4 linked regions of the Saccharomyces cerevisiae S288C genome follow. The protein of the gene in region 4 interacts with the protein of the main gene of each other region in a biochemical or structural test. Each region holds a gene or a part of one and is shown on either strand. Other genes may lie near its edges. The genes, in order: DIF1, TEL1, SML1 and DUN1.

Region 1 (6,693 bases), on a different chromosome or scaffold from region 4:
TACACCTGAGCCAGCGCTTATTGTTCTTTCTAAGCTTACAGAAGATTGACCTCTTGATCTTCGTATGTATCCCAAACGATCTGTTGTAGGCTTTGAAATGGTATTGCCTTCACATTCGTCAATACTAATATCCAAAAGAGATTCAAATTGCCTCAATTCATGCGAAAAAGTTTCCTCGTATTTAAACGACGTCTGCGTGAAAATATTTGCCCATGTGGCAATGTGGAACCACATCAACAGCTTATCATTAGTATGCATAGACAAAGGCTGAAAAGTTGTCAATCGTCGAACATCCAGTGGTAACCGGGGATGAATTGTGGTCAATATATCAGATCTAAGAGCCGACAGTTTCGATAAAGTTTCGAAATATTGCACCGATTTAATTCTCGGAATTTCAGGAACCTTCGACAAAATTTGCTTAATAACCCGCAAAAGAATTTGTAAATAAACTGTACCGGACCAAACTTCATTAAAATTTTCATATTTGGGATTTTTACATTTGTGAGTAAACGTTAGTGGTGTAGGCCATTGAGGTCTATGTGGCCAATACTCTAATTGATGTTGCAAATTCAGATTTGAATCTGACTTGAAATCAATGAATGCAATGACTTGGTAGTTCTTATCATGATTCGTACTTGAAAAATGCTTAACTGTCCCAGGTGTTTCATTTTCTAATGACGCAGGATTGAAAAGCAAATAAGGAGTTGGAGATTCGTTTTCTTGACCTGGGTCCTCATTTTGATTTTGGCCTCGATTGTCATTTTGGCCTTGTTGCTGATTTTGATGTTGTTGATTTGCTGAAGAATAAAGATTGACTTGAGGCAAATCAGTTATCTCTTCAAATTGATAGAAATCCTTCCATTGGACTTTCCGGTTGAATCCCATTTGCTTCAAGGTCATGATATGCGAATTTAAATTTGGATTCATGTCTAAGGCCTTGGATATAGAATTTATAGAGTCATTTATTTGGTGAGTGATGGACTGATGTCTCACCATTGCAAATAGTAGATTCTCCGCATCGTCAAAATATAAGGTGAAAAATATTGTGATTGACCTTAATAATAACGCCAACAAATCCATTTTGAAACCCGGTGAGATCATATACGGTATATCTTTTGTCTTGAAGACAGGCGTAGCGTAAGTTGTCAGATAAACCTTATTTGATGACTTAGAAAGAACGTAAAGTAGGGACATTGCAGCATTGTAGGATAGTTTGGACGAGGATGTATGACTAGAGGTGGCTGCACTTGGTGATGCGGACTTCTTCTTTGCTGATAATAGAATTAAATCGTCATGTGAATCATCATTTTTGTGAGAACTGGTCAAAATTTCGTCATTAATTGGCAGCAGATTGTAAATCAATTCATAAAAAATCGGATTCGGTTGTAAATTGAATTTAATGTTGTCTAAAATCAAATTCGATAATTGTATGACTGTAAAATCTCTGAACGTCAAATTATTTATATCGCCGTTGATGTTGGAGAGTTTGTAGAAATTTGGCAAATTATTTGTATAATAATTAAGGTTGAAAGTCTGTAGCATTTTGAAGAGAACAAGTTTTTTTGAAGTCAAAATCAGGAGAAGATGATTGAGTAAAGGTAACAAGATCTGTGAAACGCTATTTTCGTTCAGTTCCACAATAGAACGCTCGTTGCTCGTATCGTTAGATGTGCCGTTGCTCGTGGTGGAAGAATTCGAGCGTGTTGTTGATGAAGACGACGACAACGATGAATAATCATAATACTTTAAATAGTAGATGGAAAAAATGATGAATCTACTTGCAAACTTGTCTGCAAAATAATTTTGGAAACACTTATTGCAATCAATCAAGTTTGTCATGAGAATAGTCATAGGTATCAACAAAGGATGAATCTCTGGTAATTGTGGCTTTGTTTGCGGTTTCGTATGGTATGCCGCCGATGATGAACTAGGCAACGAAGCATGCGAAGATGAACTGTTATCGTGAGAGCTCGTCGACACGGCTCTCCTTCTGCTGGCATCAATATGTTTATTGTTTGTGAAGTTAAAAATGTTTGATTCTTGTTCTATGGCGAGATCGATGGGGTATTTGAAAATTTTAATGAAACTAGAAAGAATTAATTTTAAATCGTACTCTCGCTGTAATTGGGTGAGGAAAATGGTAATGACATTGTCTTGGGCCTTATATGACATGGAGAGATTTAAAACGTGCAGACAAGACTGCACAAATTGAAAATAAAGCGTCTGCCAATTACTTGCGGTGGCGTCGGAGCTGAAAAAATTAGCCTTCAAGCTCTGGAAGTCTTTATTATTGTTAAGTATAAACCGCATCGTGCAATTTAATAGCGAGGAAGTGAATTGAATGCTTTTGTCCTTAGGCATTTGAGTACACCAGTAGACAAGAAACATGTTTATGTCCTGTTTACCGCCGCTCGTGTACAAGTCCGAAGAAAATAAAGCTGCCAAAAGACGTAAAAGAAGCAGTCTATTGGCAAAAAGATGCCACTGATGATGCATATTCAGTAGTGAGCGGTACTTGTTGGAATTAGTCAAGATGCCGATTTCCCACAATTCGCTTGGGTGGGCGGTCACGGCAGTTGTGAAATTATCTTGGAAAGCCAGTTTCAAGATCGCCAACAGTAGTCTTTCTCCCAGTGGGATGTTTTGCAAGGGAAGACCCTCAATTTCATGTTGCGTGGCCCAAAAGACATCGTAATGGTCCTGCGTGCTAGACTTGACCCGGTCAAAATAAATAGGTATGAGGATGGAAAGGGTCTTTATGGCGTTGATAAGCCGCGAAGAATGAAGTCCCGTACGGGAAGCGGGCAAGGAGTTCGCGGAAAGAATAATGTAGAGCGAAAGGAAGACAATCAAGTTGTTGAAGTTGGGTGGGTTCAAACTAGAGATAATGTGCAGGATTTTTTTAAAACTAGAGTTAATGCTGAAGTCCTGCACGTCCACTGATATGAAGTCCAAGTAAAAATCGTTGAAGACGGTATCTAGCGGGACATTTGGTTTGTCGCTGAACAACGCTTCAACGTCAGGCCCAGAATCCAGCTTAAAAATTGACAGGTTTAAACTCAACGGATCAGCATCAACTGAAAGGGAGGGCGAGGGCGACGACGTACGTGAAGGGGAGGACGCATCTGCGTCCTCCGGTCGAACCAGAGCGATGCAGTGGTTCAGCAGGATCGAACTGGATTTGGAGTCAGTATTTCCCATTATGCATAGCCTAAGGGAGAATTTTTATGGTTTGATTTGTGTGTATTTCTTTCTCTATTAGCTTTTTCTCTGATTTGTTTGCTTATCTACCTGTACGTGTATGTTGTGTACTCAATAAATAGAGGTCTTTTTTTTTTTTTTTCTCCATAGGTTTACCCGAAAGAAAAAACACCGAAATTAAGCACGTAAACCGGCGGAAAAGCAAGGAAAAACCCCCTGAAGCCAAAGCAACTGCGATAGTTTTTATTATTTGTTATATCCTCTATAAAAAATGTGCGAACAAGAGAAAAGACTATATAAAGAATCTATAAAAGAGAAAGTAAAGTAGGAAAAAGAGAGAAAAAAAGAGAGAGATAAAAAAAATTGTGCAAGTCTGTTAAAGTCTTCTCTTGGATCCATTAACCATTGTTTCGTGCTCCGCGGCAGGTTCCGCGACGTCCCATTTCTCGAGCGAGGACGCCTCGGTCGACATTGTTCTCTGGTTTATCAGCATAGGTGGTAGCGAGTTAGCAGTGGGCAAGGGCGACCTTGTAAATTGCGGAACAATAACGCTCGAGTAATCTCTAATGACACCCGGCTGTAGTGAAGCGTCCGAGGTGCTCGGCGTCCTCGATGCATAACCCTGGTCGACCCGCTGTCTGATTCGCATACCCACAGTCATCAACTGGTCCTTGTGGAAATCCTGTTGCTGCTGCTGCTGCTGCTCCTGTTGTTGTTGTTGTTGTTGAAGCTGTCTCTTTGGGACGAGGCTGCTTGCCCATTCCAGTTGTGCGTCCATTAAGTCTTGTTTGTTCCTGTATTAGTGTGTGATGTAAAGCGTGCGTTTCTTGATCTGGGTTCTCTTGCTGTTTCTTTTTCTTTGTTTTCTTCTCCAATCCTTGCCTGTTGCTACTAGATAAATAAATACCCCACTGGCGGGAAAAAGAAAAAGCACACACACAAACAAACGAGAAGAAAAAAGCGCGTGGTACGAGCCGCGCTAATGAGGAATAGAACCCATGCACCACACGCAAATGTGCGCACGGACAAATTCTGCCCTCTGTTAACGGCAGGACCTGGCGTCCCCTGCCGTTAGCGGCGCTAGCCGACGCCGTAGTCGCGTGCCCTTGCCCTTAGCGGCTGACTGGCTGACTCGATTGCATATATAAATTGCGGCCACCATACGTTGAGTCTTGTTGTTATATGGCGGTTGTTCGTATTACAGCAAAGGATACTACACCACAAGACACCACAGCAGCACAGAACCACAACACCAATGTCCGAAGCTACCCTCTCCTCCAAGCAAACCATTGAATGGGAAAACAAATACTCCGCCCACAACTACCACCCCTTGCCCGTCGTTTTTCACAAGGCTAAGGGCGCACATGTGTGGGACCCGGAGGGTAAGCTGTACCTCGACTTCCTGAGCGCTTATTCTGCCGTCAACCAGGGCCATTGCCATCCTCACATCATCAAGGCTTTGACGGAGCAAGCACAAACACTAACATTGTCCTCCAGAGCGTTCCACAACGATGTTTACGCGCAATTCGCCAAGTTCGTGACCGAATTCTTCGGGTTCGAAACCGTTTTGCCCATGAACACCGGTGCAGAAGCCGTGGAAACTGCTTTGAAGTTGGCCAGAAGATGGGGGTACATGAAGAAGAACATCCCTCAAGATAAAGCCATCATTCTGGGTGCCGAGGGTAACTTCCACGGGAGAACCTTCGGTGCTATCAGTTTGAGTACCGACTACGAGGACTCCAAGTTGCATTTCGGGCCTTTCGTGCCTAACGTTGCCAGTGGTCACTCCGTGCACAAGATCAGATACGGCCACGCAGAAGATTTCGTCCCTATCTTGGAATCTCCTGAAGGTAAGAACGTTGCCGCCATCATTCTAGAGCCAATTCAGGGTGAAGCCGGTATCGTCGTGCCCCCCGCAGACTACTTCCCAAAGGTCTCCGCATTATGCCGTAAGCACAACGTCCTATTGATCGTTGACGAAATTCAAACCGGTATCGGTAGAACCGGTGAGTTGCTTTGCTACGACCACTACAAGGCAGAGGCCAAGCCTGATATTGTTTTGTTAGGTAAGGCTCTCTCAGGTGGTGTTCTTCCCGTCTCATGTGTTCTGTCTTCTCACGACATCATGTCTTGCTTTACCCCAGGATCTCACGGTTCTACTTTCGGCGGTAATCCTTTGGCTTCCCGCGTTGCCATCGCCGCCCTCGAGGTCATCCGCGACGAGAAGCTGTGCCAAAGAGCCGCCCAACTGGGTAGCTCTTTCATCGCCCAATTGAAAGCTCTCCAAGCCAAATCTAACGGTATAATCTCTGAGGTGCGTGGTATGGGACTGCTTACCGCCATCGTAATCGACCCATCCAAGGCCAATGGTAAGACCGCTTGGGACTTGTGTCTATTGATGAAGGATCACGGCCTCTTGGCTAAGCCCACCCACGACCACATCATCAGATTGGCTCCTCCTTTGGTCATCTCCGAAGAGGACTTGCAAACCGGTGTCGAAACCATTGCCAAGTGTATCGATCTGTTATAATATTAATACGCATTTTTTTTATGTTTTCTCGTTTCTTTTCTTTTTTTTGTTTTATATCTTACACATTTTTAATATACTAAAAGTAAAATAAAAAAATACGTACTGTTTCCCTTTGTTTTCTCCTCCTCTTTGCTTATATCTCCACTGCGCCATCGTCATCTTCAGAGGGCGTGCTGATTAGAGTCACTGTGTCTCCTCTGATGAACACCATTTCACATCGTCTTTCGGACTCACTCAACTCCTCGTTGTTTAATTGGTATATGGTCTCTACTGCATCACTCAGCACGATGTTGCAGTGTGAGTCGAACGCTTGCAGTGTGCCCACCAGCGTCCTGGCCCCGCGCAGCTTGATGTACACCCTCTCATCGAGATTGAGTTTCAATAAATCCAAAGGTGTCTCCATTTTCTTGAGTGTGCGTGATGTTGTGTGTGTGTGTGTATTTATCTGCGTGTCTCTCCCCTGTTGTATTGGTTGCTAGAATGGATGGAAACATCCTGCCTCTTGTTTGTTCAAACCTCAGCTTTCTTGCTTTTTTTCTTCTTTCAATATCGCGACCTATCACACAGCACGGATAGCCAAAAGGGCGCATCAGGAAGAAGAAAAAATATCATTTCAGCAAACTAAAAGAATTGCCCTGAAAGCTATCGAGCCCTGGTAAGAGAGTACCATTCTATCTCTGCGGCTAGAAAAAAATACCATAAAAATATAATAAAAATGTGGAAGAGATCGTTCCACTCCCAAGGAGGGCCCCTGCGTGCCAGAACAAAGTTTACCAAACCAAAGCCAAAACAACCGGTGCTTCCCAAAGACAAAATAAGACCGCCCACTCAATTGACTCATCACTCCAACAACCTGAGGATTACCGAACCAATCCCACCAACAACCTCAAACCTGCGCTGTCCCGACGACCACCCGCTGTGGCAGTTCTTCTCCAACAAGAAATTCATCAGGTCCGCCGACG
Region 2 (9,862 bases), on a different chromosome or scaffold from region 4:
TTATCGAAATTTGTAATTTCATGTTCTTCTTCAAATAAGTGTTCGTATTTTTTAACTGGTGACATTACCCAGGAATAAAGGGGATCCCATTTTAAGATATTCAAAACACACATCACCTTGACATAATCTTTTCTTAATACTGCGTAAACTCTTTCACAACTCCGCCTGAATAGGCCATCCACGCCTGTGACTCCAAATCCATCAACGATATCTCTAGTTAATCTGAAAGGGACCAACTCTGGAATGGGGAGTAATTTTCCCTGATCAAACGCAATTCCCAGGTCTATATGAATAGGCTCCCCTGTTGAGCAGTCAAGCAGGATATTGTTTAAGTGCCTATCACCGAGGCCTAATATGTATCCAACGATAGAGCTAGCTGCGACACCTTTTGTGTACGTTTTCTTAGCTTCAAACCAATCCAACGGATCGGGAAAGGAATCAAAAAAAAAGTTTCTTAACTGCGGTTTTATTTCATTAGTGATTTTTAAATAAGCTTTCAGCCTCTCTTCATTTGATTTTGTTTGAACTGCTTTCATGCCTTTTCTTGCCTGATCGAAGGTTATCTTATCGTTGGTATGTAGCTTACTCAAAATTTGATGTAATGATGTAGAATTTGCGACAAATTCAATGATTCCTGCCTTTGGTCCTAATGGAACCACTTTGTATGTTCTAATACCCAGATCTAGATTTCTTAATACTTTATCATTTTGTAGAACTTTATTAACTTGTTGAAACACTTGTTCCATAATTGCATCTTGTCTCAAATCGTCATTACTTCCTTTCATCAAAGCTTTCTGCGTTGTACCATCTGAGATGTTGAAGGTGACTATTTTCGGCAGGGACAATCCTGTGGTAGTAATGCCTACTGTTTCATTGACGGATACAATATAAGGGCGGGCTTTTCTTCCATCAGCAGAACTTTTGACTGTAAAATTACTGGTCGGTAGGGGAAGCTTCTCCATGTTTAGCTGTTTCAGCCAATATTGGCCAATCTTCAAATTAGCTAAGCGTAACGTCTTCGTATTTTGCACAAACTTAAGATTAGCTAACTCTACAGACATCTCGCAAAACTCTTGCACAGGAAGTAAATACTTTTTCGCAAAGGCACCCCTGTCATATCCTTGCAATTCTAAAAGAATCTTTTTGACAGCTTGAATTTTTTGGGATATGTTGGTGTCCTTATTGGATTGCTTTTCATATAGTAGTATGCTCATCACTGAATAAAGGGAGTCATACGGTAGTTTGTAAAGAAGTCGTTTCATGGTTAGTTGCAATGGCTTTTGAAATTCATTCTCCTCCATAGATATTTTTGACGCAATCTGATTGACCCAGGGCAAAAACTTCCAGCTCGGTATTGTTCCAATTTCTTTATATAGTAATTGATTGATCTTGCTATTGTCATCATTCTCGAACCATAAACCACAAAACTTATCAATAATGTCATTATCATATCTGTTGCTGAAAACTAAGGTATTGAGATAGAAATGGAGTGCATGCCATAAAAATTTTTCTTTTTGAAGAAGCAGTGCCTTTAGTACTTCAGAATCTCTATTATATTGTAGCAAGACACGATTATAATGCCTTTTCGCATCTTTTCTTTCATTTTCTGGTAATTTTGTGTTTTTATATATCAGCTCCAAAGCTTTCAAGGTAGATTTTCCAGTATATGACCTATGTTCTCTATCTTCGATTTCTCCATTTGATCGTAACTTTTGTGCCTGTTCATCCAGAAAACTTCCGAGTGTGTAGAAAACATCAGAACATGATTCATGATCTTCGACATTTATATCCCAATTGACAATGATTTTTTCATATATTGCAGCAGCTGGTTCAAGCCTTGATTCTGAGCTCCATTTAACTAGTCGAGCTTTAATTTGGTCCATAGGCACATTAATGAGTAGCTTAAAATCGTCATAAAGGATACTTTCGCTAATATTCTTCTCATTTTGAGCTAAAAGATCTCTCATTATCATTACAGGTGCCTTGTACTCTCGAGACTCCCAGAGGGCATTAGCAGATGTGAAACTTGCCAATTTCTCAATTTGAGATACTACAGAGGGATCATCGTATAATTTTGCAATATTCTTCACTGTTTTGCTCATTAGAGTGGCATTTCGTAACGCATCTTGAGGCGCACCATTGGCAATTGCCAGCTGAACGTAATTAGCAAGCTGAATAATGGATCCAAGGCGTAAATATTTCGAGCATTTTACGTTTTCATCTAATGAATTCCTCGAGAGCACATTCATTAAAGTATGTCTACTCTTTAACGTTGTTTTGTGATCATAGAAGTCTATTGTATTAAGTCTCTCCTTATCGGCCTTCATAATAGACATCAATGTTTGGGGGAAGGAAGTAACGTCCTGAGGGATTGCTGCTATTTTTATAAATTCAATAATCGCGTTCAGAGTATCCATCCATTCAGTTTGGCTAATAAAATGTTGTCGAGAATCAAAAATAGTTAATAAGGATTTTTCTAAACTTTTTTCAGCAAAACCAACGTCCTGTGGTAAATTTTTTATGGCATAGTATAAACCTTTGGCTTTGGAATCAACAACTTTTGGAGTCAATAGCTTCCAGTCTCCCAATTCTAAATTCCATTTGTAGACATCACTGGATCCAGAAAGTCTACTTTCCAATAAGCTTGTCAACCCGTAGAAACCGCTATCTTCTGTGGCCTTGATTAATGATTCCTTTTCCTCTTCTAGTGAAGTAGTGTAATTGGCATCAAAATCGGCGTTGTTGAAAAGAAAACGTTTCCACGTATCTGAGTCAATTCTATTGATAGAGTTCAAAACACCCTCTATTGAGTGTGGAACAGGTAAGCCTGCTAGAAAATCGCCGTCATTTATGCATTCGTAAATCTTCTGAAGTGTATTTATATTCATTTCTCTTATGTTTGGCATGTTCATTTCCTCAAATAACAAATAGCCAAACTTGAACTCTTTTATTTTAAGAGAAATTTGACATATTTCTTGTAAATCTAAGCTAGAATATATGCGCAGACAGTTTCGTTCCTTGCATCTAGAACCCATCCTAATCATTTTAATTACATTGAAAAGCATCTTTAGCTTTATCTCAGAATCTTTAACATGCAGCAACATTGCTATTTGAGTGAATATTCGATTGCTCCAATTCAAACAGCTTTTCGGATCGTAAGTCGTTGAAAGAAAAAAGAGGTCAGTAAGTACTAATTCACAAAAAGCTGTTGATCCTTTGCATAAAGGATACAAGCAAACAATAGGAGGTATATTAAATGATATTTGGTGAATCAAACTACGGGCGAATTTGCTTAGCCAGCAGTTGTAGGGTTCGTTCACTGACAAATAAGTATCGCATATGAATGATTCCATCCCAAAATTGTTTGCCAACGGGTATATAGCATTCAGTACATCCTTGTCCAATGGAGCAACTTTATCTTTGTTCTCGTTCATTATGTTATCCCTAAAACAAAATTCACTTTCGCTATTTCCTATTGAGTAGCCCACTAGGTACGTTAGAATGCACTCAGAAATAAAAAACACTTCAGTAGAATCATATAACTCAGCTTCTTTATTGAAGGTCGAAATACGTTGGTATATCATATGTGGTTGTTCGGGATGGCGAAATACCATTTCAAAGTTTTTCAAATGAACTTCATTATTAAAGTTTGTAGATCTCTCTCTTTGAACTTCTTGCTGTAAAATTCTTCTTGAAAGAGCAGCGAACCATAGTTTGAAGTTTTTACTCAAATATTCCTTTGGAACATGGTGTTTCAAAATGTTAATTGCAGCAGCTTTAGAAAGCGAACAACCGATTTTTGAAGCTACCGGTCTCCTGGCATAAGAAAAGAGTAAAGAAACCAATACAACATCGTCTACGCCACAATCACTAGCATCCAAAAGTTCCGTATTTTCATAAATATCATCTTGGACTATATTTCCGAATATTGCATCAAGGCAGTATTTCCAAGTTTTTATTTTGATGAGATCCCGATGCTCTAAAAGCTTTATAGCCTGCTGGAAGGATGGACTGAGCTGTTTGTTTTCCCTCAAATAAATGAATATTTTGCAAAATAAATTGGGCAGAGATGGCTCTATTTCAAACGTATTTTTGTCAGCCAGATTTAACAATGAGCTGAAAATTGTTATTACTTCATCGTGAATTTGTGTATCTATTAAGAATTTTGAAAGCCGAATTATGATGAAGTTTAAAGTTGATGATTTTACAAGTACATTCTCATACAACACAAAAAGATATTTTAACTCCCTTGCACATCGCAGTTTTCCTATGTAAGTCGATGTCTTTTCAAGGTCTGTAATAACCGATAAAAACAAAAGCTTGAATTCGTGTGTGTTGTTCTTTTCATGAGCAAACTGCGTCTGAACTAAGGTTGCTCCTAATGCCAAGGGTATATGAAGTGGGTATTGATACCTCATTGAAACACTGGAATTTTCAAATAAATATGGCGAAAGGTATGAAGTTGGGAATAATTTTTCAACAGTAGATCTAAGTTCAGTAAGTGAGCCCAAATCAGTAAATCTTATGATCCACTTTAACATCAGTAGACGGTATTTTTTATGGTATTTTACTGTTGTTTTACCTGATATTTGGGGCAATATATCAAATATTAGTTCATTCACACCGCCACTGATAAAGGCAAGTGGAATACACAAGTAATAGCTGTTATCCACCAGATAAGCATCACCGTTTCCAGTAATCGCGTGTAACATGTCTAAGATCCATTTTTGGTTGAAACCTTGAGAAAAGTAGATTGCAGAAATTTCTACAAAGTATCTTCCTAAAAATTCATGAATATCGGCAAATCCAAAAAGAGATATATCCCATTCTTTCTCCAATTTAGAAGTAGGGACTTTTGTTCTGTTAAACCAGTACATAATCAAATCAAACTTACAATATTCGAAGAGCTCTGTAAGGTTTTGGTAGCGAAAAGCGACCGTAATTTTGTTCAGAGCTTGTTGGATAAACGCACGAGTATGATTGAAGCCAGAGTATGTCATCATATCCTCCAAAGAAAAAACTAAGCTTGGGTAAGACACCAAAGACAACATGGACATTGCAAGAGAGTAGAAAGCGGACTTTTCAATACTTTGCTGAGGCGGACCAAATAAGCTCTTAATCTCATAAAATATGATACTTTGATTCTTATAGCTCACTTGGGCCATATAACTCGAAATACTGTTCATTATGTTAATAATATTGGAGGAGTCTAGCTTTTGCAGGCATTTAATAAAAGTTGCAAAGACTCTCTGCTTCCCACCTCTGATTGATCCGTGGGAAAGATCATGATTTTGAAGTAGGCTAAGCAGCAGCATAGAAAGGTTGACCGTAGGGGCCACACCAGTGAAAGAATTGTCCTCAAATCTAGATATGATCCAGTCCAGGATATCATTGCAGTCCGAATTCAAAGGCTGCTCGGGGTAAGATAACCATTGAGGTCTTATTGCTTCGATATAAGATGTAAGTAAAAGCATAGCTTGATTGGAAGAACTATAGTGGTTGCAAAGCAATTTTTCACCCAAGACTTCAGTGAATTCTTCCAGGATTTTGTTGTAAGAAGATTTCTCCCCGATTGCTTGTTTTAACCACTGGCAAACAGTGCCAAGATAAGATATAAATACATCTGTGCTAACGCAATCAGAAAATTCCAATATGGCTACCAAACGCTCTGAAATGGATTTATTTCTTGAAGACCATAGGTAAGCTCGCACTGCTTTATCTATAGTGGAGTGCAGAGGCTTCTGAAATCTACCTCCAATTGTGTACGGACTATTATTCTGGGTAGTGTCTTCTGAAGAGGCTTCGAAGTAATTGATGGCAGAAGTTCCTGTTTGAGATTTGTTTTTTTGCATCCTGATAAAATCATTAACGATTTCCTTCATATTAATTTTGTCAAGCACTAAATGGTCTACATTTATGGTCCGTATCGATAAAACCTCCTCAAAAAATGATTGGTAGGAGTTTTGGCTATCAAAACTAAGTTGTGGAATAGTTATTAAGGTTGTTCTCTTATATGCTGCAATAAACTCAGAAAAAGTGGAATCTCCACAAAGATTATCAACTATTTGTATTAATTTTGCTACCCAAGTAAATTTTTGTAGTGGAGATGAAAATGCATCACTTTCAATATTTTCCAGTAATCTGTAAAGAATTTCATTATAACGTGTGAGGTCTAAGGAAACTTTTGGTAAATTAAAAAAGGGAGTGTTAAAACATTCTGACTTTTCTTCTGGTTTTACGCCTAAAAGAAATTCCCTCTGCTCTTGAAAATGTTGCCAAATCTTGTGGCTTTCATCCCAACATAGTGAGACAGGATTAGCTCCTTCGCCTTTTTTATCGTTGAAAGGGTTCTCTGGGTCATATTTGTTACCTAACCAGGATATAAAATTGCAGAACTGATCCTGTTTAGCATCAGTTCCGCGCAACTGGTTCCACTTTGATTTTAGCCACTCAAAAATTCTATCAGCGGACGATATACCGTTCATAGATTGGAAGTCTTTACCAACGTACTGAAGGTATCCCCATAGCATGAACGATTCATTAGTAACTAATATGGGACCCAAAATATCGGATAATTCGTAAAGATCATATATCTGATTGATAGTTTTCTCATCGGATAAAAGCTGCTTTGAAAACTTTATGGAGTTGGCTAATAAAAGACAACTTAACTGGCAAGATTCATTTGATTTTACTAATGGTAAGCAAACTTTAAATAGGCGTGCCATGTCGCCATTGCTTAATTCGCATTCTTTTTGGGATAATAAAGGAATAAAAGAAAAACAAACCCAATTAAAGCATTGGATTTTTTCGAATTTTGAAAACAGAAGTTCTTTCAGCTGTTCTGCAAAACTTTTAGTGAAGTCTTGTAAAGTTCCATAAAATGAGCACAATTGTAATCCTAGCACTTCAAACTCATGTGAGCTGTTCTCCTCTAAAAGATGAATAAGAAATGTGTCCATATCGTCAGAAATCCGTAGGATAGAAGGTATATCCGAATCACATTTTCTTCTTTTAAATAATAATGAGTAATTTTCATTTTTTCTGTTCAATGCAAAATATGTTAACAATGATTTGGTAATTCCGAGTATTTTTAACCACACCGATCTGCCTCCCCTATCTCTAAGTCTAAAATCAGGTAATGCAAACCATGAATTTTTATCCCTTGAACCTCGAATATATGAGAATTCCACATGGTTTACGGTAAATAATTGAGGCTTATAATTACTTAAGCGCAGTAGAATGTACTCACGGTATAGAGATACAAGAGATTCGGACCGAAGCTCTTCAACATAATTCTCTTGACCAATCATATAAGGAAGTTTATGGTTCATTAGTTCACTTGACATAACATCAAACAGTGATAATTGGTCTTGTACTAGCTCATTGGAAGTACAGCCAATTGTCAGGTTGTAACTCCATGCTTCTTTTATAAGCATTAGCGTATCAATAACACTAAAACAATGGCACTTCAAAATTAATTGATTTATTAATGACATTATTAATCTCGTATTTCCATTTTCTTTTTTGCTGAGCCTCAAAAAATCTATTACGGTCCAAGTAATTGTCCTTGTCACTTGAAATATACCAACTGTGTCTAACGCCAATAAATTCAGGAGGATCGATATGAAATTGGTCAATGTTTTGTCTACCATAGATAATTTCATTTGGCTTTGAAAGTACTCGCAAATTTTATCGACTAAGGATATCCATTGGTGTATCATGAATTTCAGTTTGAAAGGGTCACTTTTAATTAGGGCATCCAAAGCAAACGATAAATGTACTGAAACGGCATCCAATAAACTTTTGGAACCATCTTTGACCATTAATTCAGGTACTACTGCTAAAAGTAACTTCAACGTTTTCACTTTAAATCTCTCACATGATTTTTCTACAAATAATCTTAAAACGTACGATATCGTGGAGAGTCTGTTCTCACTAAGTGATAGCTTGTTTGTGGTTGACACTGTCAAGTTTCGAAGAAGGTCACAGTATTTTGTGTGTTCAGATGCAAGTAACTCTACCAAAGCTTCTGCCGTTGTAGATAGGGCCTTGGTTGGTATCCTTTCCGGATCTTCTTTTAAAATTGTTGTTAGCTCATCTAAAGCATTGTTTCTCTCTTTGATTTTTGTTGATGATAGAAAGTTTAAAGTTTCTACAATCCCATGATCCTCCATCGTCTATGTTACACTGATTTCCCTTTTTCTTTGAAGGCTTTTTTTTCGAATTTCCTGCTTTTTTTGCGAGGCTTTGAGAAGTCAATTAGTCTTGATTATTCTATTAACTTGGAACTAATTTACCTTGAAAAATGTCAAAATATGCATATTGTACGGCTGGTGCCATACTTGTTTCTCACTAGCAAAACATTCTATCATCTGTTATTCTTACCTTCTTAACGTGTCTGTTTGCTTTTTTGACGTACCCCAAAAAATATATAGACCCTCCTATCACGCTCATAATATCATGTGATTCTCTCGATGAACGATAATAGTAATATTTTCATCTAAAAATGCAATGAATTATTGAGTTTCTTTAATCTGTTTAAGAGATTGTTATTTATAAAGAAAATATATATAATTGAAGAATCTAAGAGTATGAGTCAAAATAATTTCCTTTTTACACAACAACACCGGAGTTAGATGCAACTCTTGGCCATAAATCGGCACATTCCTTACCGACTGGACCAGTGATGGCGGAACCCTTCATTTCACCCTTAGGATTAGCGATGACACCAGCATTGTCTTCGAAGTACAAAAAGACACCGTCTCTTCTTCTCCAAGACTTAGCTTGACGGACAACAATAGCTGGCATAACCTTCTTTCTCAATTCTGGCTTACCCTTCTTAACGGTGGCCATAACCATATCACCTAGAGAGGCGGCTGGCAATCTGTTCAATCTGGAACCAGAGCCTTTGACGGCGATAATGTACAAGTTTCTGGCACCACTGTTGTCAGCACAGTTCATGATGGCACCGACTGGTAGACCTAACTAGTTAAAAAAGATCTCAATATCGGGGAGTGAGAATAATTTTGTTAGTAAAAGCATAGGGAGAAAGTTAGCAGATGTGGTTAATCTTGAAAAATAGAGTTAAGCGTGATTTTTGTAGAAATAACATTTCGATGGTTATCCATTAGTATGGGCAAAAGAGGGAGTTAGGATATGCTTGCCGTGTATGATTTTGAAACCAGAAATTTTTGAGTCCATGAATATTGACAGGTATCACTTCATCTGCAAATACAGCCCGCTTAACCATTTAAAAACTGAATTTATGTGTGTAATTGCATCTTTGGCGGGGCGGTACCAGTGATGGCACATCTACCATTCTTATGGAAAATAACACCGATAGGTATATGATCAGGCTTCACACTTAGTGTTTAGCGTCTTTTAAACCTCTGTTTAATTCTGTTGTACCCAGCAAAATGAAATCTTGGAACTTTACTTTATGATCAATTTAACCAAATTGCATTGTGGAAAATAAAAATTTTAACATACTGAGATTCTAAACTTAGTACCTTGAGCACCGTTACCGGACATTATTAGTTATATATAGGTGTGTTGGTTTTGTATTGCTTGTAAGACCTAAGAGTCAAAATAAAGAAAGTAAGAGATTTTTAGCTACTAACCTTAGCAATACGATGGTATTACTATTAGCGGGAACAGGTACATTATGGCTACAGTTCGTTTCCTGCCATATTAATTTTTCAGCCCGAGCGTGTTTGGGTTTGATATTTTCTTTTTTACCTCTTTTTCAACATTTCCATGCAAGTCTGATGACGGTTGTACGGCTCGTTCTGTGAGCCGGATAAGCGATAAAAAAACTTGGTCTGTTGAAAATAATAACTGCATGGGTTTTTCAAAGCAGTTG
Region 3 (7,635 bases), on a different chromosome or scaffold from region 4:
TATAGCGTCTGAAGACATTGCGGGTTCAAGAAGAAGTACTGGCTCCTGTGTGACTCTATGGGAGGGAAGGAATATCTCCTTTTGTTTGTATCGTAGCAATTGGCTTAATACTGTTCCAGTTGGATATATGTTTTTTCTAAGGAAAAATAGGAGTCTTGATGAAAGGTATTTTTAGGACATTTTCTCATTTGTCTCGGGCCGAAAAAAAGCATTGATCAAGAGAGGGGGACAATGTTGGCGCTAGCGATATCTAGCTGTATCAAACGTATTATAGACTATCTTTGATAAAGACACAGAAATACAAAAATACGTAGAAGAGACATATATATATATATATATATATATGTATATAAAGGGAAAGGAAAATGCACGGGAGAGAATGTTTCGAGAATGACAACAATAGTAGGACGAGAGTCCCTGAAAAGAAGGGTATCTAAGAGAAGAAAAGAACAGAACTAGTGGGAAATGGAAAGAGAAAAGAAAAGAGTATGAAAGGAACTTTAGAAGTCCATTTCCTCGACCTTACCCTGGTTGAACATAGATTTTAGTTCGCCAGAACCAAATTTGTTGTTGTTCATGTCATGATCGATAGAGTTGAGTCTCTCCTCCAAATCCTTTTCCCACATTTCTAATGAAGAAGCGGAGGCAGAAGCGGAGCTGCCCATGGAGTTTTGAGTAGACAACATAGGAACCTCAGCCATAGGTGGCAAAGGCACCCTTCTAAATTCCGCCATGGTCACGGTACGCAATGTGGAAGGGGCTTGTTGTTGTTGGCAGCGATTTTGAGCGTAAAAGTAGTCTTGGGAATTTTGCATAGCGGGAAATTATTGAGCAGTTGAAGAGAGGTTAGTGAGACCGTAAGATCACAAAGGAGCAGATAAGACATTTAAAAATGGGAAGGGACAGCCAGGAAAAAAAAAGATCTCTTTTTATACCCGCTGAGGCGGAATCGGGCGAAACGGGCGATGTTCCAAAACAGTAACGATATGTTATGGCTATTTCCTTTTTGGGACGGATGACTTCCCAAAATGGCGACCGCGGCGGGTAGTGGAGCCCGTTTGGGCTCAGCGCGAGGTAACAAAAAAAAATTTCAAATGTTGGCCAAAAAAAAACGTCAATTATTCCTATGTACGAGGTCTAAACATAAAAACATATCTACTATATTCTGACGTATTTATAATCTATTGTTCTTTCCTATCATTGGCCTACAAAAAAAAAGAGAAGCATGCTCTTAGTTGGAAGTATTCTTACCAATGTCAGAAAGACCGCCGCGACGTTCGACGGCAATGATGTTGGCAGAAGGAACGTGATCCTTGGGGAATAAGTAGCCGGTCTTGACACTCTTGTTGACACGGTTGCTCATTGAGCACAAAGTGTCTTGTAGGACGACATCGTCAAGGAAGAATTGCTTTGGGTTAAGGCCTTGGTCCATGGTCATATAGTTTTTTTTTATTGCTGATGTGGTTTGTAGTTATATATATACGTATATTATTTTTCTTATAAGTAAAAGAACAAGAAAGGAAAGGAATGAAAGAAATAGTTTCGAAAAGACAATAGGAAACGCCAAAAATTCATGGCCTTTTATATGCTGGGAATCAGTTGCCTTCGTATCTCGTTTCTCGTTGCTGTGGAAACGAGATACGAAGGCAACCTTTACGTATTTGCCCTAATGTTTCCTTTTCGAGACCTTTGACACATCTTCTTACCCGAAACTAAAAACCTATATTAAAGTGCTTTTCAACCCTTTGAGTAAGTCCGATTTTTATTTAAACCCTTCTTTTTTTTTTTTTTTTTTTTTTTTACAGGTTATAAGGATCTTAAAAATCTGGGAAACTTGACACTTTTCTCGAAAGTTTATTAAGTTAAAGAAACACCACAAAACTCTAACGAATATAAAATAAACAAGAAAAGAATAGAAAGGCTTGGCTCTAGTTTTTGCATGCGTTCAATGAATTGCACTACGAACAACACCAACAATACCGGCCAAAACACGAAAAACAGTCTTGGCTCCAGCTTTAATTCCAGTAATTATACTTCTTATAGATTCCAGACATGTCTCACCGACCAGATTATTTCTGAGGCGCAGACGTGGTCACTTTCATCCCTCTTCAACTTCTCGTGGGTTGTGTCCTACTTTGTTATGGGTGCCTCTCGTATGATCTTCAGGTACGGTTGGTATCTGGCAACTTTATCGCTTTTAAGGATTCCGAAGTGGATCTTCTTCAAGTTACACCATGTTCAGTTCACTCTTTCCTTTTGGCTGATCCTGTTTGCCCTAGCCGTCATAGTCTTTGTGACTTACACCATCATGAAGGAGAGAATTCTATCCCAGTACAAGAGGCTGACCCCGGAGTTCTTGCCGCTGGAAAATACAGGTAAATCTGGCTCCAGCGCCAATATCAATGCAGCTTCCACTCAGTCAGCCAACGCGCCACCCGCCATAGGTTCCTCTACCACGGGTGCAAGCTCGATTATAGACTCAAAAAAGCATTCATTGAAAGATGGCAACGAAAACGAAACCTTTCTTTCATCTTACCTTGACCAATTTCTCAGCGCCATCAAAATCTTTGGCTATCTGGAAAAACCAGTCTTCCATGACCTGACCAAGAATATGAAAACTCAAAAAATGGATGAGGGTGAGATTTTACTGTTGGACAGTACTATTGGGTTTGCCATCGTCGTTGAAGGCACCCTGCAGTTATATCATGAAGTAGATCATTCAGATAAGGACCATGGCGATGAAACTGACCACAGTGACACGGATGGTCTTGACGACCAGGATAGAGATGAAGAAGACGAAGAAGAAGATGATGACATTGATAACTACGACACCAAATCTTGTTCTTCTAACCTCATCGATGAAGAAGATGAATCCGTTGGTTACATTCATCTGAAAAATGGACTGGGAAATTTTCAACTGCTAAATACAGTCAAGCCAGGAAACCCGCTGACCTCCCTCGTGAGCATTTTAAACTTATTCACGCATTCCATGTCCTCGTATGGCAACAGTAACTTTCCCTCTGAGTTATCGTCACCTATAGACACAACGGTGTCGGTCAACAATATGTTCTGCTCATCAGAGCAGAACTTCTCCAACACAGATTCCATGACAAACTCCACCAACAGCTTTCCAACGTTCCCCTCTTCAATGCCTAAACTTGTCGCCCGTGCGGCTACAGACTGCACAATTGGTATTATCCCACCTCAATCGTTTGCCAAATTAACCGCAAAATACCCACGGTCTGCTTCCCATATCATACAGATGGTTCTCACCAAGCTATACCATGTTACGTTCCAAACTGCTCACGACTACTTAGGTTTAACAAAGGAGATCATGGATATCGAAGTTTTACTAAATAAATCCATCGTTTATGAATTGCCTTATTATTTGAAAGAGGCCGTTATTCGTAAGTTTAAAACTGTAGATAAGTCGAGCGGATCGGCTGATTTAGAACCGAAACCCAAAAATAGTAATGCTTCCTCTAAATTGAAGAAACCGCCCAAAGCGAAGCCATCTGATGGTATCATTCAATCGCTTAAGATTGCTAACGCCAACGCTAACACAAGTTCGAATTCCCTTTCACTGAAACCAGAATTCACCCACCATCCAAGTTCGAGACATGTCGTACTGGGTTCAAGAGACCAATTTAATCCTGGTGATTTACTGTCAAATGTCCCACTGTCTAGAACTATGGATATTCTGTCACCCAACCCAATCCATAATAACAACCGCAATAAATCAAACGGTATTAACACTTCTACCTCTAACCAACATAAGCGATCTTCTAGGAGTAGCAGTAACAATGCTTCCGTACACTCTAAGAAGTTTTCTTCTTTGTCCCCAGAATTGCGCAACGCACAACTTAGTACATCGCCCTTGTCCTTGGATAATACTTCTGTTCATGACCATATCCACCCAAGTCCCGTTCATTTGAAGGGACGGGTCTCTCCAAGACCTAATTTACTGCCCACAACATCCTTTTCTGCTGCCCAGGAAGAAACCGAGGACTCTGCTTTAAGAATGGCTTTAGTTGAGGCAATGTTAACATACTTGGGTGTAAACAAAAGCAATATGTCCGTTTCATCTTCTTCGATAGCAAATATGTCTTCTTTAAACTCTCCTCAACTTAATGAAATGTATAGCCGCCGTCCAAGTAACGCAAGTTTTCTGATGTCCCCTCACTGTACACCATCTGACATTTCCGTAGCTTCATCATTTGCCTCTCCTCAAACTCAACCGACAATGTTAAGAATCCTACCCAAAGAATACACTATCAGCAATAAAAGGCATAATAAAAGTAAAAGCCAGGACAAAAAAAAACCTAGAGCTTACAAAGAGGAGTTGACACCCAATTTGGATTTCGAAGATGTCAAGAAAGACTTTGCACAAGGCATTCAGTTGAAGTTCTTTAAAAAGGGCACCACAATTGTTGAGCAGAACGCTCGTGGTAAAGGCCTATTCTATATCATTTCCGGGAAAGTTAATGTGACAACAAATTCGTCCTCGTCAGTAGTATCATCAATGTCTAAACCAGAGCAGGTTTCAGCCCAAAGTTCACACAAGGGTGAAAATCCTCATCATACTCAACATTTGTTATACTCTGTAGGATCTGGTGGTATTGTGGGCTACTTGTCCTCTCTAATTGGTTACAAATCATTTGTTAATATCGTTGCCAAGAGCGATGTCTATGTTGGATTTTTATCTAGTGCAACCTTAGAAAGATTGTTTGATAAATATTTCCTAATCTACTTACGGATTTCTGATTCATTAACCAAATTGCTATCTTCAAGGTTATTAAAGCTCGACCATGCTTTAGAATGGGTTCACTTGAGGGCTTCTGAAACTCTATTTTCACAAGGTGACTCGGCTAACGGTATTTATGTTGTCCTGAATGGTAGACTAAGGCAGCTACAACAGCAGTCATTGTCAAACTCCAATACAAGTTCCGAAGAAGTTGAAACTCAGAACATTATTCTAGGAGAACTGGCCCAGGGGGAGAGTTTTGGTGAAGTTGAAGTGCTTACCGCTATGAATAGATATTCAACGATAGTGGCAGTGAGGGATTCTGAATTAGCGAGAATTCCGAGAACATTATTCGAACTATTAGCTCTTGAACATCCATCTATCATGATTAGAGTTTCCAGATTAGTTGCTAAAAAAATTGTCGGAGATAGAACTGTTCCAGCATTAACAGGCGATCCATTATCTATAAAGGAAAACGACTTCACTTCTTTAATACCTCCAACGAAAGCGTCTTACTCTAGCTCTTTAAGTCATAAACCCCAAAATATTACTTCTGGCACAATTACTTTTAGAACCATCACTATCTTACCAATTACCAGTGGACTACCTGTAGAAGCATTTGCTATGAAGTTAGTGCAAGCTTTCAAACAGGTAGGAAGGACCACGATTGGTTTAAATCAAAGAACTACCCTAACACATTTAGGTCGTCATGCATTTGACAGATTGTCCAAATTAAAACAAAGTGGTTACTTTGCTGAACTAGAAGAAATGTACCAGACTGTTGTTTATATATCAGATACACCAGTTAAATCTAATTGGACAAGAACCTGTATTGCGCAAGGTGATTGTATTCTCTTACTAGCAGATGCTAGATCTCCATCAGCCGAAATAGGAGAATATGAAAAGTTATTACTAAATTCAAAGACTACCGCAAGGACCGAGTTAATTCTTCTACACCCTGAAAGGTATGTGGAACCAGGACTAACCCATAAGTGGTTACGCTATAGGCCATGGGTTCATTCGCATCATCACATTCAATTTAGTTTGACAGGAACAACCTTGATGAACGAAGGCAAAATGCACGTTTTGAATAATGGTGCCTTGGCATTAATGGATAAGTTGATTCAAACAGAATTCAGTAGAAAAACTCAACAGAATATATCAAAACTACTTCCAGATTCTATCAAGAACACCGTAGAAAACTTTTCTTCAAGATTCATGAAAAGTAAAAGACAATATTACACACCAGTTCATAGGCATAAAAATGATTTTCTAAGATTGGCTAGAATTCTTTCTGGACAAGCTATTGGACTTGTCCTCGGAGGAGGAGGTGCGAGAGGTATTAGTCATTTGGGTGTCATTCAAGCTATTGAAGAACAAGGTATTCCGGTCGACGTTATTGGAGGAACATCGATTGGTTCCTTTGTTGGCGGTTTGTACGCGAAGGATTATGATTTGGTGCCAATTTACGGCCGCGTGAAGAAGTTTGCTGGTCGAATTTCCTCTATATGGAGAATGTTAACAGATTTAACCTGGCCGGTTACTTCTTATACTACTGGTCACGAATTTAATAGAGGTATTTGGAAAACTTTCGGGGATACAAGAATTGAAGACTTCTGGATCCAGTATTATTGTAATTCTACTAATATAACCGATTCGGTTCAAGAAATACATTCCTTTGGTTATGCGTGGAGGTACATCAGAGCTTCGATGTCTCTTGCTGGTCTTTTACCTCCTTTGGAAGAGAACGGGTCTATGTTACTGGATGGTGGTTATGTTGATAATTTACCAGTAACTGAGATGAGAGCGCGTGGTTGCCAAACTATATTTGCAGTAGATGTAGGTTCTGCAGATGATAGAACGCCTATGGAATATGGTGACTCCCTAAATGGGTTTTGGATCATTTTCAATAGATGGAATCCATTTTCTTCTCATCCAAACATACCCAATATGGCAGAGATTCAAGTTAGATTGGGTTACGTCGCATCAGTAAATGCTTTAGAGAAAGCGAAAAATACACCAGGTGTCGTTTATGTGAGACCACCTATTGAAGAATATGCCACATTAGACTTTAGCAAGTTCGAAGAAATTTATCATGTGGGTGTAGACTATGGTCGTATCTTTTTGCAAGGGCTTATTGACGACGACAAGATGCCATATATACCTGGTTCACAAGAAACCACTTTGAATTCTCAAGTTCCTGAGTTTTTATTACATAGAAGAAATAGTATTTGATAGATTTCTATCTTCCAACGCCTTGGTGACCGTTTTTTGTAGATAGATTTAGGTATTGCATTGTTTTTTACTGTATTATTTATCGTTCTAAATATTTGTGTTTTATACTGTAAATATCTCTAATATTTCAATCATTACCTTTCAAGCTCCTTTAAAGAATATGTATCGCCTTTTCGGTCGCGTGCTTTTATCGTGGTATTTACTATGACTTTTTAAGCTAATCTATTTTTGCTTCTTTGATGTGAAGATCAGACAATTCAACTTTCAGTTTCATTTGTTTCGTAACAATTGCTTCCGTTTCCTTTATCATATCCCATTTTCTCTTCTTTATAGTACCAGTTGTAGTGCTACCACTAGTCCCTCCGATTTCTTTAGAGAATAGGACACCTTGGGCCCAACCAGCGTATGATCCCCATTTTTTAAAAAGCATTAATCTAATATGGTCGAGCTCTAGGTTGATTTTTTTTCTTGAGATAGGTAAGGCGTTGTATTTTGTCCTCAATTCTTTGAGATGGTTCTTGTTCGCAGATATTTGGTAGTCCCTCTTCGCAATTCTACTAACATGGACATCTACGGGGACGATGCCATCCATGTGAAGTCCCATTAGACAAACGCAATCAGCAACTTTGGGGCCTACACCATTGTAGGACATGAGG
Region 4 (3,913 bases):
CGAACGGTATGTTCGTTGTGAAATCCATTAAAATTAACACAGGCTCTCAAAAAGGAGGCTTGATGAGCTTTATTAAAAAAGTTGAGGCTTGTAAAAGTTGTAAAGGTCCGTTGAGGAAAGGTGAAGGCCCTCTTTGTTCAAACTGTCTAGCAAGGTCTGGAGAATTATACATAAAGGCATTATACGATGTCAGAGATTTAGAGGAAAAATACTCAAGATTATGGACACAATGCCAAAGGTGCGCTGGTAACTTACATAGTGAAGTTTTGTGTTCAAATAAGAACTGTGACATTTTTTATATGCGGGTTAAGGTTAAAAAAGAGCTGCAGGAGAAAGTAGAACAATTAAGCAAATGGTAAAAAACGATAGGGTGGCACATCATATTAGGATTAAGAAAGGCTAACAACTTTTTGCATGTTGGTGGATATATATGTATATATAAATAGATACTTGGAAAAATCCAGATTCAAACAATGTTTTTGAAATAATGCTTCTCATGTTTAGAGGCAAGATAATTCTGAGTATGTTTTGGGTATTTTATTGTCAGTAATTTGTAAACGCTGCAATTCTAATGAGACCGAGCTTTGTTGCTGTATGTCATTGAACCAAGGGTGGTTCAAAGCTTCATCTATATTGTACCTTTCATCAGGATTTAGGACCAAAAGATTGGATATTAAATGTAGTACTGAGTCATCGATTTTATCCCAGTACGGAGAGTAAAACGCATACTTAGCTTGTAAGATCTGTTCCTTCAATGAAGGTGGCCCCAATTGATCACTGAATGGAGGAAAACCACATAAACAGACATATAATATGACACCAGCACTCCAAAGATCTACTTTTGATGTGTATCCTTTCTTTGTGAGGACTTCGGGCGCTACATAAGAAGGCGTACCACAAAGTGTGTTTGTGAATTGCATTTCTCCTGTAAATTTTGCTAGGCCAAAATCCGCTATTTTAACTTGAATATCAATTTCATCTTCATCCCATGGGCCAAGTTGGACTTGACTTGGATTTTCGCGCCTTGTTATATTTAATAAGATATTTTCTGGCTTGATGTCTCTGTGAATGATGTTTTGCTCATGCAGATACTTCAATCCGGTAAGTAACTGTTTGAATAGAGCTTTGGATTCATCCTGTCTCAAACATGTTTTTCTGACGATTCTTTCAAATAGTTCGCCATCGTCGATCTTTTCCAGTACCAAATATTTTTGAATCTGAGATTTGCTGATTGGCTCTACAAAACTATCTAGTAAGTTGACAATGTTTGGATGTTGCACTCTCATTAGGATGTTAGTTTCCTCCCTAAATTGTTTATTCTTTTTTTGGTCGTCATTTTGCTGAGCGTGGAATATTTTCACAGCTACTTGCTGACCAGTTTTTTTGTTTTTGGCTTCTTTCACCAGGGCGTAGTGCCCTGCACCTAATTCTTTACCTAATAAATATTTATCAAAGAACGACACAGGCCTTGTCTTATTCAGTTTTCTAATTGCGGCACTCGTTGTAGCATTTTGGCTACTTGTAGCACTTATTTGCGGTTTCTTGAAAACTTCGTCGTCGTTCTTATATGAACGACTTTCTGAACTTACCTTTTCATCGTCATTTTCGATGTCAGTAGAAGATGAAGATGCGTACTTGAACAAAAAGGAGCAACTTTTGCCAAAGACAATTCTGTCACCATTCTTAAGGATGTAGTCTTTCTTCACCAAACGATTACCATTAATAAAAGTTCCGTTTCTGCTCTTATCGATAACATTAATCAAATTTCTTTGGAAATTATCCACATCCATTTGCAGTAGATGAAACTCAGCATGGAAAGTCGAGATGTCAGGCTCACTCAATATAACGTCGCACGACCTACTTCTACCGATTGTAGTAACGTTTCTATTTGTTATTTCCACTTTTTGCTCCTTTCCGGGTATTAAGTTCACCAGATGGCCCAGACAAGTGTATTCTGAGCTGGGCTTATTACTTCGTTGCTGTCTTTTGAATGAAGAGTCAGTTACATCACCAGAGTGCTCTCTTTTCGTGGACAAACTCATCTTCACTATAATTGCCTTTTTTACTGTATGTTAAGCCCCTTTACTTGTTACTCTCGACTATAAAGGGTTCTCATTTCCTCCTTTTTCAACAATATCTAATAATTTTCCAAAATCATTTGAAAAATACCATGGAAATAAAATGGAAAAAAGTAAACAAACGCGTCGCGTCACGTAATTTTTTTCTTTTCACACACATACCATCGTATTACTATTTTTTCTATGGTTATATGTCGTATGTATCTATTTATGGTATTCAGGGGCTTCTATTCCTTATCTTCTAACTCATAAATGACTTTGCCATCAGTAATAGGGTTATATTCTTTGTTTAGGAACTGTGAGAACTTTGTTAAGTTATTTAAGCCTCTGATTTCTCCAGCACATAATGGCATTTTAACGACATGGAAATCTTCGTACAATTCGTCGATTTGGTCCAAGTACTTCTTTTGCATCTTCCATCTTGCCTGACATCTCTTACAGTTGTGCTCTTGATCGTTTTCAGCAAATAATAATTGGTTGACAATGATGGAATTAACGTCCATATCGTAGGAAATCAATTCCTGAATTAGTCTTTCAGTTTCATATAAGGATAAGAATTCACTGATACAAACGCAAACAAAAGTCGTTAGGTCAGGATCCGTGAATTGTTGTCTGATGGTCTCGACATTAGCCTTTAACTCGTTCAATTTTCCAGAGATATCGACATTACCTGCGCCCATAAAAGAGTTTAGCATTGGGCCCAATTTGTTGGTAATTTCACCGAACTTTTCCAAAAGCTTGGATAAAGTATTTGGTAGTTGTAGAAATCTTAATGTGTGGCCAGTTGGAGCAGTGTCAAAAATAACAGTATCGAAGGTTTCACCTTCGCCCTGTTCTTGCCTTTTAATGTGCTTCATGACTTCCATGAAGGATAAAGCTTCGTCGATACCAGGGATGGAACCGGTCAAATCAGCAAGAGCACCACCTTGAAGCAAGCTTCCTAGATCGTCACCTTGACCGTCACTTCCGTTATTGTTAGCGCGTGAAACTGCCATGTCGTTCATATCCTTCAAAGCAGCGGATGGATCGATTTCCATACATGATAGATTATTCATGCCTGTCACCTTTCTGGCGTCTTTACCAAATTTCTCACCGAATGCATCACTTAAGTTATGGGCAGGATCAGTAGAGATCAGTAGGAACTGTTTGTTTGGTTGACTCAAAGCCATTTGGATAGCAATGGAACATGATGAAGTAGTCTTACCAACACCACCTTTACCACCAACGAAAATCCACTTATGAGTGGTAGAGGTAATTAAAGAGTGCAAATTAGGTTCCACGGTTAAATCCATAATTACAATGTGATGATCTTCTTGTTCTTGTCGTACGTTTTCCTAAACGCTGCGTTGGCTTCCCTCAACTTGTTTGAAGTTGCCACCGTTTTATCCATTTTCGCTTTTGAAAAAAAAAAAATGGTTGAGAATCCCCAGCACTATTAATTAGTACTATTGTTACGAAGATCTTGTGATAAAAAAGGGATGTAATAATTTGCATTGAACCAACCTGAATTGAGCAAGTTTATCATATAGTTACAATGTCTGAACAGGAGTCTGATGAAGTTAAGCGTATGAAACAATTGGAAGAGGCTAGAAAGAGAGTAGAAGAATTGAAGAAAAAGAAAAATAAAAAGAATAAAGGTAAGAAGAATAAAAATAGCAGTGCCACAGGCTCTATAGGATCTGAAACTCCTGATTTAGAGGGCACACCAGGCGAAGAGTCCACACAGGAGGAGACTGTGAAAGCAAATTCCACCAAAAGTGAAAACAACGATCAAAATGACGTGGATGAGGAGAGTGAAGAAAAAGAAATAGAACAGGTTAAATCAGATCCTTCGG

The links.
Region 1: of the proteins of DUN1 (region 4) and DIF1, one has a biochemical effect on the other in vitro, tested with the Saccharomyces cerevisiae proteins (one study listed by BioGRID).
Region 2: of the proteins of DUN1 (region 4) and TEL1, one has a biochemical effect on the other in vitro, tested with the Saccharomyces cerevisiae proteins (one study listed by BioGRID).
Region 3: of the proteins of DUN1 (region 4) and SML1, one has a biochemical effect on the other in vitro, tested with the Saccharomyces cerevisiae proteins (5 studies listed by BioGRID).

What each region holds. Positions count from the first base shown.
Region 1 is NC_001144.5:1,008,045-1,014,737, forward strand, and holds DIF1 (Dif1p), read right to left. Parts: upstream 3,980-6,693; coding exon 3,578-3,979; downstream 1-3,577. Other genes in the region: ECM30 (Ecm30p), read right to left, coding at 1-3,201; CAR2 (ornithine-oxo-acid transaminase), read left to right, coding at 4,457-5,731; U4/U6-U5 snRNP complex subunit LSM3, read right to left, coding at 5,865-6,134; mitochondrial 54S ribosomal protein uL29m MRPL4, read left to right, coding at 6,447-6,693. UniProt on the Saccharomyces cerevisiae protein: Mediates the nuclear localization of RNR2 and RNR4, 2 subunits of the ribonucleotide reductase.
Region 2 is NC_001134.8:51,209-61,070, forward strand, and holds the start of TEL1 (DNA-binding protein kinase TEL1), read right to left. Parts: upstream 8,175-9,862; coding exon 1-8,174. Other genes in the region: 60S ribosomal protein uL14 RPL23A, read right to left, coding at 8,614-8,985, 9,490-9,531. UniProt on the Saccharomyces cerevisiae protein: Serine/threonine protein kinase which activates checkpoint signaling upon genotoxic stresses such as ionizing radiation (IR), ultraviolet light (UV), or DNA replication stalling, thereby acting as a DNA damage sensor.
Region 3 is NC_001145.3:152,563-160,197, reverse strand, and holds SML1 (ribonucleotide reductase inhibiting protein SML1), read right to left. Parts: upstream 816-7,635; coding exon 501-815; downstream 1-500. Other genes in the region: CMP2 (calcineurin catalytic subunit A), read right to left, coding at 1-18; HUG1 (Hug1p), read right to left, coding at 1,232-1,438; NTE1 (lysophospholipase), read left to right, coding at 1,940-6,979; 8-oxoguanine glycosylase OGG1, read right to left, coding at 7,197-7,635. UniProt on the Saccharomyces cerevisiae protein: Strong inhibitor of ribonucleotide reductase (RNR1) and is involved in regulating dNTP production.
Region 4 is NC_001136.10:279,807-283,719, forward strand, and holds DUN1 (serine/threonine protein kinase DUN1), read right to left. Parts: upstream 2,043-3,913; coding exon 501-2,042; downstream 1-500. Other genes in the region: DNA-directed DNA polymerase delta POL3, read left to right, coding at 1-359; guanine nucleotide exchange factor GET3, read right to left, coding at 2,306-3,370; BUG1 (Bug1p), read left to right, coding at 3,613-3,913. UniProt on the Saccharomyces cerevisiae protein: Transducer of the DNA damage signal. Phosphorylates SML1 on serine residues. Cooperates with the PAN deadenylation complex in the regulation of RAD5 mRNA levels and cell survival in response to replicational stress.